Neodiprion lecontei: one gene and its partner. The protein of the gene in region 1 interacts with the protein of each later gene in a pairwise test. Links are inferred from orthologs where the notes say so. Each region holds a gene or a part of one and is shown on either strand. Other genes may lie near its edges.

What was found. The genes of interacting proteins can lie anywhere in the genome.
Region 2: the proteins of histone-lysine N-methyltransferase SUV39H2 (region 1) and histone H1-like interact in binary tests that used the Drosophila melanogaster proteins (3 or more experiments, as listed by UniProt). The link is inferred for Neodiprion lecontei from reciprocal best matches to the Drosophila melanogaster genes Su(var)3-9 and His1:CG31617.

The regions. Positions count from the first base shown.
Region 1 is NC_060264.1:30,371,615-30,377,236, forward strand, and holds the start of histone-lysine N-methyltransferase SUV39H2, read left to right. Parts: upstream 1-1,648; 5' UTR 1,649-1,792; coding exon 1,793-1,864; intron 1,865-2,856; coding exon 2,857-2,920; intron 2,921-3,081; coding exon 3,082-3,192; intron 3,193-4,689; coding exon 4,690-5,622. UniProt on the Drosophila melanogaster protein: Histone methyltransferase that specifically trimethylates 'Lys-9' of histone H3 using monomethylated H3 'Lys-9' as substrate.
Region 2 is NC_060263.1:38,371,265-38,376,886, reverse strand, and holds histone H1-like, read right to left. Parts: upstream 3,624-5,622; 5' UTR 3,561-3,623; coding exon 2,871-3,560; 3' UTR 1,917-2,870; intron 1,718-1,916; 3' UTR 1,250-1,717; downstream 1-1,249. Other genes in the region: histone H3, read left to right, coding at 52-462. UniProt on the Drosophila melanogaster protein: Histones H1 are necessary for the condensation of nucleosome chains into higher-order structures.

The DNA.
Region 1 (5,622 bases):
TTTTATATATACTTGGTTTGAAAATTTACAAATAAATTTGATCTATTCTTTACAGCAAAGAACTTACCTTAGACTTTTTTTCAATCGTCGATTTCACAGATACACAGACATTACCTGTCCAACAATTATTTTTTCTTCGATCTCCCCACTTCAAGCCAAGGAATACAAAGCCATGATTTCTGGTTCTTGAAATTGACGCAACTTGTGATAACTTCTTAACAAACTCAATTTAATAACGCTAATTGAAAATATCTAGTTTTGATATAAAATTATTCAAATTCATTGAGTAAATGGAATATTTGCTTTCACAACTTCAGCAGCTACAACCAGACTGCCCAAATCTTGAATTAAAACGTACGAGTCTTATAATATAATTGCGTGATCGTACAAATATTGAGATTTGCAGACTAGCGATTGTGGTAATATTGTAGAGCGCGAAACTTGTACCGGTACAAATGTTACGCATAAGCTAAAGATGTACCCGAATCAATGAAGTAAAACTGTTGTATGACAGCAAAAAGCAAACATATCAAAACATAATAGAAAAAAAAACAGTAAGTTTGATGTAAACTATTTCATGAAATACTTTGGATTAGAGTCCAAAGGTTCGCCAAACACTGCCCCGTGAGAATAGCATGTGGGCGATTGGTGACGGAGGTTATTTTGTAGAAAATGAATGCTGCGAAAAAACATATGACCTTTAGCTAAAATTACATACATTTCGCTATGTTTCTATTACAAATCAGCGACTACCGTTGAAGATCGTTAGATTTCAATAGTCATCAGCGGTATCGCCAATGCATTTTGTAATGGAGAAGAGCACGCGCTGGACCGACCAAGTGGGCAGAAAAACGTGGCAAATGTCAGGATTAGGTAAAAGTAGTATTGGATCACAGCAGGATCGTTTTCGCGCATTTACAACAGCAGTTAAGCAGTTTCGATAGATAGAAATGTCGTTCAGGGCGTTAAATACCGCAAAATGTTAAGTATTTGAATGAAAATTAGAGAAACATATTCTAACTCACCTACAGCCGACCACGCCAGGAACAGAAAAGACCGCCGAGTATCGAAGCGGCTTAGAGGGAAAGTCGAGTGGATAAGAAATCTTTCTCCCCTTCTTGCGACGTTCACCTTATGCCATGAACCACGCAGATGCTGTGCGTTCCGTCGGTAATGCGTTAATACATTGGTATTAGACACGCTGCAATCTATTCAGTGATTTTATGTATGTATGCACACACAATCATGAATGCACAGGTCAAATTTCAATGTCACCATCGATTTATCTTACGCATTAAATCTACTATAATGTGCTTGAAATGATTGTTTAAATCGATACATAGACCAAACAGTTGACATAACGACGATTTCCATCTACCTTGTTCCGTCAGAAATTTGCATATAATATGTTTTTAGAATCAGTTGTACAGTCGGGAAAACTAAATGCTTCATTCGTTTTTTATATATACGTGCATAATTATAGTACGTCAACTATTTATTTAACGTTTCAATCGAATTTCAATGAGAGTTTCAGTCCTGTTCAAAGTTTTGGCTCGCAGCCACCAGTGAAGCGCTGTGGACACCTAGCATGACGAATCGTCAAAAGTTTGTGTCCGAAAAACTGTCACCAGATGGCGACAAGATTCTAAAGAGTTCCGGCGTTCTTTGCATGCGCATCTCTGCTTCTGCCCTGTCGCCCGTTGTCACCAATTCCAAGTTTTAGCGCCGCCAGCCGCGAGCCTAGACTCTAAATAGTTTAGAGATTTTTTATTAATTAAAGTTAATCGCAAATATGGGAGGTGACGAAGGCATCGGGGTTACAACAGGGCAGCCTAATTTATACAAGCAAGATTTATCGAAGCTCGTAAGTTCCGGCGTTAGCTATCCGCCTCGATTAGATTATCTTAGCCGACATATTTTGTACAGGCTACTGCCACTGCTGCTTTAATTCTCAAACATATTTTATCCCCTGGATATCACATTCCAGTTTGACGATGTTCAATTATTGCTTCGAAACATCGGCCGATGCTTTGCACTGATTAATTTTCGGAGAACTCGCTTAACAGCACTTTAACGTAACCTCAAACATCTATTCACGCGCTGTCCTTACACACGGTTCCGTATAATGGCGTGGCTTAGGGCTGGTTAAGAACTTCGTAGGGCCTAAACTTTGCTTTGAAATTCGCTATCCATGCATTATCATATTTACAATCAATCAACTAACTGTAATCGAGCTCCCCACATTCCCCTAGCGAATCGTGGCGCGTTATGGAGCGATTTTACGTGAACGTGCGATTTCACATGACAAATGAAAAAAAAAATATCCGTCCAATTTTGGAACGCATTATTCAAATGCATTGAATTAACGGATTCCTTCACCTGAATATGGGATAGAAACAAAACGACGCTAGGTTAGGAATCAATCACCTCATTATCTCAAATGTCAGATGGACTTGGGAATAGTTTTTTCATACAATATGTTGTAGGTTTAGAACTCATGGATTCATAGTGCAAACGAAAAATATTCACACCGCTCTACAGGAATAAGTGTATTTAACCCAAAGTAAATATTGTAACCAATTTTGATTAGCAAAGAACCAATGCACCTTGTTTCTTAGTGAAAGAATTCCAAGCGCATTTTTGTTAAATACCAGTTTAGAGACTTGCTTTCAGATATTGCTGGTTTAGAAATCAATATAAATGATGAATGAGTAAAAACATGAGTGATATCTTCTGATTTTTTTATAGTATTCATTTGAAAGCTTTATGCGAAGAATTTTAAGAAAGTTATTGATAATAAGACAAATTTGGTACTGAAATTAACCGTGAAATCATATAAACCTTTTTTTATTTCAGGATGTTGGTAAGTTGACTGCACTGTCCCGGGAAGTCATCAGCCGACAGGCGACGATAAACATTGGTAAGAACAATTTTTTGTGAGAAGTATCTAAACGATGTTATTAAAATATTAGAAACGACAAATTATACATGAATGCTAATTATTAAAATTACCTTATTATGTTTTCAATACCATTAGCATTCAGAGCTGATTAAATTACAATTTTCATTATTTTTCCACAGGAACGATCGGACATGTAGCCCATGGAAAGTCAACAATCGTCAAAGCCATTTCAGGCGTGCAAACTGTACGGTTTAAAAATGAGCTGGAAAGAAATATTACCATCAAACTCGGTATGCTTCACTTGAGAAATTATTTCAAATGTCTAATATAAAAATTTAGTTGATGATGGTATTTTTTTATAACTAGTAATAAGTACTAACTAAGTCATTATCGTATTATTCCTGAATGATTACTTTCAATTATCTAACCTTGTAGGACATGGAATGCTTCTAAGTTTTATTGACTTCTAAGAACTGTCCAAAACCTAGGCTTTCCTACGAATGTCTTCATGTGAACATATCTTGTTTCAATCAACTGGAGATTGTATACAAAGAATGGATACTCATTTTTCAACCCAAAACTTTACTTGTTGATACTTTGCAGAAACAACTCATAGCATCAAATGATCTCATTGCATGCATTAAATACATAGCACATTATTAAAAATAGTATCCAACAGTCGGGAAGGTCAGGATATTTAATCAACGAAATTTCACACAAAATCCAGGGTTCGCAATGCTTTTAAGCCACGTAATTTTAGGAAAAATAGAGAAACACTTTGTGAAAATAACGGGCTATTAGGGTTTCAATATTTTTTCATAGTATTTACCAAACAGAGCAAAATTAGATACACACTAGGGTGTACGTCATTTTGGTAATTTTGAAATTTTTTTAATTGTACCCCAAAAATGTGTTTGAATTGTAGAAAAATAAAATCCCCTGTAAATATAAAAATTTTCGCACAATATTCAGACGTACCGGAGGATGACTGAAATTTTGAATGTACAATACATTTAAATCTTCGCTACATATTGATTTTTTTTTTGTACAAACTAAAATGAATTGAAAACATAAATTCGATGGTTGAGAATAATGTTTCTATTTTCAACTAAATGTAGGATCGAAATAATTCGGGGGTAGCGTAAGTATTCCGTAGATAACGACACTCCATGAAACCGTAAAAATTATGGTCTTGTGAAAAATAGGTTACTTTCAGGGAAATAGGGGATTAATGTGTAGCTCGAAAATCTTGAGCAAACTTTACCACAGTCCTCAATTTTTTTAATTTTCTGCCCGTATCCGAGAGATATTTGACGGTGTTTCATTTTAGACATTCAAATTTTGTCGCAAAGCTTCTCATTTCTCTTAAATAAAATTCGTTCAGAAGAACAAAGGCGATACAAATGTTAATGAGGATAAAAGTAAAAGATATTGAAAAGCGCAAAAAAAAAAAAAAAAAGGTGGAAGCAACCCCACGTATGAAAGTGAAGTAATAAAGAAGATCGAAGAGGAAAAAATAGCATGTAAGAACGGAAAACGGTACCTATAATAAGAGAAGGTGCAAAATTTGGCGTGTCATGAAAATAAAAAAAAAAATAAATGAATAAATAAAAGAAACACTCGTGCTGAATCCTAAAGTAAAGCACAGGGGTCGAAAATAGAAACGGATCATTCACCAAAACAATGAAATGGTGAAAGAAATATCGATTTAATAAAAGTAAATAATCTTTGTCTCCTCCATGAAATAGAACGGATGAATCACGCCGTTTAAATCTTTGGCATTACAGAGCCACACCATGCGGAGGCGATCAACAAAGAAAATGGAAAAAACAGTGTCGAAGAGGCAGATCCTGCGGATAAAAGCCCGCCTCCGATCTCCAACTCGAGTACGTCCCAATTTACAAAAAAACGTGCTATATTTCGGAGCTCTGACGCAGAGCGTCCTGTCAAGATACCACGGCTTAGCGAGGGTGATAACGATAACGACACCGATGATGACAACGACAACGAGGATGATGACGACATTATTCACACTGTGACAACAAACGGTGAGAATTCGCCCAGTATACCCGAGGAAGAAGCGGCAACGGGAATTGAGGGGCGAATCCAGGCTGAGAATTTGGTGGCAGTCGAAGTAGATAAAAGAACGAAGTACAGTTTGAAAGAAGCAGTGATAAAACTTGAAGATATTGGTACAAAGATAAACGAACTTAAATCGAGTATAAAATCTTCGAACAATCGCGAGGATTTACACGAGGTGGAGAGAATATTAGATAAAAGATATTCAAAAGGAGTTGAAGTATACGCTGTGAAGTGGAAAGGCTGGGACGACAGCTTTAACACTTGGGAACCACTTTCGAATTTGACAAACTGTGCCGAACTGTTGGCAGCTTTTGAGAATTCAAATGCCGGACTGGTTGACACGTTTAAAAACCAGATCAATTACTATCCTTCGATGATGGAGATGGAGAGTCTTATGAAGAATTTCAAGCAGACAGGAAAGATAATGGATTATAAATTGCCAAATAAACAGGAGCTGAATGAAAACATAAACAAGCTGTTAAAATGGCCCAACAGAATGAACGCCAAACTGTTGACTAAAGTGAAGTTTGATATTTTAGTGTACGAATTTCACGATCATAGATCTGCCCAGCTAAAGCTTTTGAAAGAATGGGAAAACGAGATAAGAACAATAACAAAGGACAGACCAGTAATTAAGG
Region 2 (5,622 bases), on another chromosome or scaffold:
CCATTAAACTTTCGTGTTTGGCCACGCTCGTTTAGCTCCGCATCCATCGTTATGGCTCGTACTAAGCAGACTGCTCGTAAATCCACTGGTGGCAAAGCTCCCCGTAAACAGCTGGCGACCAAGGCAGCACGGAAGAGTGCACCGGCCACGGGTGGCGTTAAAAAGCCGCATCGGTACCGTCCTGGTACCGTTGCACTTCGTGAGATCCGTCGTTACCAGAAGAGCACTGAGCTGTTGATCCGCAAGTTGCCGTTCCAACGACTCGTTCGTGAAATAGCCCAAGACTTTAAGACCGACCTGAGATTCCAGAGTTCTGCTGTTATGGCTCTTCAGGAGGCAAGCGAAGCTTACCTTGTTGGATTGTTTGAGGATACTAATTTGTGTGCAATTCATGCCAAGCGAGTCACCATCATGCCTAAAGACATACAACTGGCTCGTCGTATTCGTGGTGAACGTGCTTAAATAGCTCTGCAATGAGCCAATAATTAACCGGCCCTTTTCAGGGCCACCAAAATAATTTATGCACAAGAATTGAATCTACATATATGCCGAACATGAATTTTCGTTGGGCTTATCCAATTTAACCAAATTCCTAAAGCAAGTGAGCTGTTGCAACTTTTGTAATAATGCAACGAACTTCGAATTTTGTTTATTCTACCATTCCATCGAAATCGACTCCGTACTTGCCAATCATTATATTTTAATTGCTTTCGAAGTAGTGCCCTCGTCAATTACAAAGTTGCGTGTAAACATCCGAACATCAAGGTTCGCGTATCTCAAATGCGAGAAGGCATGAGAGTAGCCCCCATTTTATTGAACTCAATTCTGAACAAAAACACTCGGATACATCTTCATTTGACACGATTTGATAGAACATGGTGTCTAGTAGAAGATACGTAACGAATTCTAAGGCATTTTTAGGTTATTCAAAACATGCAGGAAAACTAAAAGACGTATGCAAAAGGCACTCTACATAATCCAGAAAGACAGCATACATTACTTCTACTACACCTGTTAATAGGGAAAAATACGATTTGAAGTGGGAATCCACTTTTTACAAACAGTTACTCAGTGAACGTCAATAAATATATCATTTGCAGCAAACTTTAAAAATAGAATATTTCCAGGATACAACAAAAAAAAAAAAAAATTCAAAGACATGTCCAGGACCACAGGACACCACGGAGACAGTAGATATTTTGGGTCTGAGAATGGGTAATTCAATTGGAATTACGGAATTAAAAAATGTAAATTGACCAATGGATCGCATTTTATTTTGTACTTATATTGATTTAACTAATTTATTTCGGTAATACCATACCGGCATAATTAATTGGAAAGCATCGAAAAGAATTCATTAGTAAAAAATATATTGATTATAAATAAAATTGATTCTGTAGTAATATATAAAATATGCAATCTGTAAAAATAAATCTACAGGTAAAAAATTAAATTCTTGCAAAAGTACATATGCAAATATCTGGAATTAATAATGTATAAATCTGAAATTAAAAAATTTCATTCATGAAAAGAAATCATGATTGCTGAAAATAGTAAAAAAAAAAGAGTTTGCGAAATTGAAATGCTGCTACGTATATCTACCACAAATTAAATGTCATGATTATATTATAAAAAAATTTTAATATTAATAATAATAAACATGAAGATAGTTCAAATTCAAGATTTCCCAAGATGAACTTGTTCCAACTGAAGCTAGCTGAAAAGAGAAAATAAATATGTAGTTTATTGTTTGTGTCCTAAATTAGGACGGGAATGGAAAAATTATATTCATGATTTTCAAAGACAATAATAAACACATGGCCGATATGTCAACAGTTGGTTTTAAATTAATTAGGAAGAGAAAGGAAATGCAACATTTACGATAAAATACGATATGACGTTTCATTCTTCCTAACCTCAAACGAAAAGTGTCTTCAGCTCGTAGGCTAAGCGATTGCAATTATTGTACGTACATCGACGAGTGTCGTAACTGCGTGACTTTATCACCGAACTTACAGGTAGTCAATTCACACGCGAAAATTATATTCACTCGTCTCGATCAGCGTAAGCAGTGCAAAGCTACGCTTGCATGACGTGCGAATTCAGAATGGGTCGTAAAGCCAATACAATCGCATCCGGTTGAACCTCAACGCGTTCGCACACGAAAAAGAGAATACATGGACCCTGAATGAAGTAGAAACTCGACAAGACTGCAATCCTTAGGATTTATAACAGGCAGACTGTCAGCTTCAATTCTTTTTTGTAATCGTTTCCGAGCATTGAAATAACGGCAGATTCGTAAATTATCGACCTAGCTCCTGACTAGGCCGATGAAAGTTCTTCATAAACTGTCACGTGCCAACGTTGGTAATAGACTGTCCGTTGTTCTCTATACATATACCGTTTACCAACTAGAGTAGCGCGTACATATAAAACGCAGAAAGCACCGCTTGACGATAAATTTCTTTCATTTTTGCTTAGGGAAAACCCTATAATGCTAGCAATCGACGGATCTACTACTTCCTGACGTTTTAGTGAACGCGAATCGACTCGCTGGCTAAAAGATTTGATAGTTTATCGAAGATCTATGAAGACGACAGAAATAAATTTTCGTCTGATTTTAGCAACTATCTAGTATCGGCAATACGGATAATTTATAACTCGTAATTTGCTCTTCAAAATAACGATTTCCGAAATGTTTGGCATAAATTTTATGTATACACCATCAACATGAAAACGTGCGTACGATCAAATTTGTTTTGCAAAAAATTTTTGATGGTCCTGATAAGGACCGTTTTTTTTGTGTTGATGCTGCTGCTTGCTGCTGCTGCTCACTGCTATTGTAGATGACACCTGTAAATCGAAGCGATTTACTTCTTTTTAGGAGCAGCCGCTTTCTTCGGTGCTAGCTTGGCGGTTTTCGGGGCAGCTGTTGCCTTTTTCGGTTTCGGTGCTTTAGGCTTGCTTGTAGGTGCTTTAGCGACTTTTTTGGCCTTGGAAGAGCTCTTTGCTTTTGGTGGTTTGGCGGCCGGGGATCTAGCGACTTGACGCTTTTCCTTTGTGACAACACTACTAGCAGCGCCGGTTTTTTTCGCTGCAGCTGCTTTCTTGGCGGCACTCACCTTCTTATTAGAAGAAACGGCTGAGGGGGCAGCCTTCTTCTTGAGTACAGTTGGTTTTGGTGCTGCTGGTTTTACCTTGGGTTTGGAAGTCTCACTCTTCGTAGCAGAAATCTTGAACGAGCCAGAAGCTCCCTTGCCCTTGGTCTGAACTAAAGCTCCAGTGCTGACAGCAGCCTTCAGGTATTTCTTGATGAAAGGTGCTTGTTTTTCTCCGTCGATCTTGTACGTAGCTGAGATGTACTTCTTAATAGCCTGCAGAGATGAACCTCCGCGTTCCTTCAGAGTAGAAATTGCAGAGTTGACCATCTCAGACGTACGAGGATGCGCCGGCTTGGTACGAGGTTTCTGCGATTTCAGAGCAGCGGCACCTTTCTTCGCTTGTACAGCCGGACTGGTTGGAGTAGCGGCTGCTACAGGTGATGCTACCTTGTCTGCCATTACTGCGGATTATTATTGATGTCGAATTAACTTGAGAGCAATTATTTAGATGCGAACAAAACAACTGATGCACGAGTTATGACGATACTGCCAAGTCCCCACCCAAGCTATGCCCGAGCGCGGACCATGGAGAGAGGCCTCAAGCGTTTCACGTAGTACGCGCAACGAGTCTCCGAGCTGGTGGAACCGGGTAAGCGGACGATAATCGCTCTTCCTCAGCTTTCCTGGGGTTCCTGGTGGTCGGGCTTTTGTCACCAGGTGCTCCATACTTTCGACAACGGGTTGGAAAAGATTTCGAACGAGTTCTTGTATAGAATTTCTCGAAAATTGCGAGCGGCTGAGACTGTGCATCTCCGCTGCGATCGCACCCTGGTCAACAATTGCTACGTTTCCGACCTAGGTGACGGTTACTGGGTATAAAATTAGGTGATACTTCAAGTCAAAGCTTTGCTCCAACTCCATGCAAAAATTCAATTTTCTAGGTCGACCTGGAGCGACGATATAAGCCGTCGAAGTCGGAAGGGATGCGAGCAACCTCCATCTCGGACGACGCGATTTGCTCGAACAAGATTCGGCTCGACATCAGCAAGGATGAATGCCATCCTCGCAGATAATCATGATGACAATAGTTTTTGGATAAATTAATTACGAAATTTTCCTCCTCGAATTAATTGCCGTGCCGATAATCCGTATATAAGTTAATAAGCATGTGGTGCTTTCGGTTGATGTAGGTGCAGGTAAATGGATTCAGTCATTATAGATTGTGGAATGAACAATCCAATATTGCAGCCTGATATAAACAGAGCTATTTTAATTTCGATTGGGGTGTCTGATGTTTCTATTCCGTAGATCCCATTAATACATTCCATATACTTATATCTAATGCTGATAATTATTTAGAAATAGATCGTTGAAGCTTTTATTTATTTGGCGTGTATTCTCATTATACGTCGATGGTCCAAGTTAATTATCTGAAAATGTAAGACCACCATCATATTTTTATGATAAATATTTCAATAACGCACATTACGGTTTTTCGATATACCGTTTTCTACTTTCTTATTAGGTTTTTCTGCAAGCGTTTTATGGCGCCGAAATATGTACCATGTATGGAAACAGGGTTAGGTTTCGACAGGTAATAAAATATCAGATCGGAAGAATTCGACAGGCTCGATAAATTATATTTTGTTATAAGAAATTCACATAAGATTCCTTTAATGGGTAAAATAAAATACACACATCAAAAATTAATTGAAAATCATGGAATGTGACGTGATTTTAAAACAATTATACCAATAAGTATAAGATACAGTATATTCATTAGTTATCATCTCAAGACTGTTACGAGCCATTGATTTAACATTTTCAACATCAAATCCGAAATTCGGATAATTTCCGACAATATATAAATTTTATTATGGTCGATTTCGACGTTCGACGTATATGTATATCTTCGAATATCGAAGTCCACGTATCTCCCGATCGAACGCAAAAAAGACTTAACAGCTCCATTCTATATGCAATTTAAAAAAAAAACAACACATTTTTATTTCACAGAAAAATTAAGGAACGGATGAATTCTACGAATTTACTAATGCGATTTCGTAGAATTCGTGCAATTTATTTATTTCTGCGTCAAATGAAAATGAATTGGAGGGTTTCTGTTCGAAATTGTGTATGGAGTGGGACGTTTAAGCCGGTCGTTTTCGCTTATGCGATACATGGACTTTGATGTTTGGAGATACATACGTCCACGTCGAATCCGACCAGGGCACCCCCTTAACCTATAATAGAAGAGTGAAAGGGTTACAATACAGCTATAATCATGATTGAGAGTGGCATAACGTGCTACGGATTCTGAAAATCGACTGAAAATTTGTCAACGGTTGGTTAATTCCTTAAAAAACGGTTGTAGCTATAAAATTGTGAATTTTTTGATGTAGGTTTATAAAGTTATCGATACAGAAATGTATAGGTTACGAGGAGATTCTAAACGGCTTATTACATGTATTACATTGCGAATATTTGTTGGATTTTCTCCACGCTATTGGTAGCAGATGTC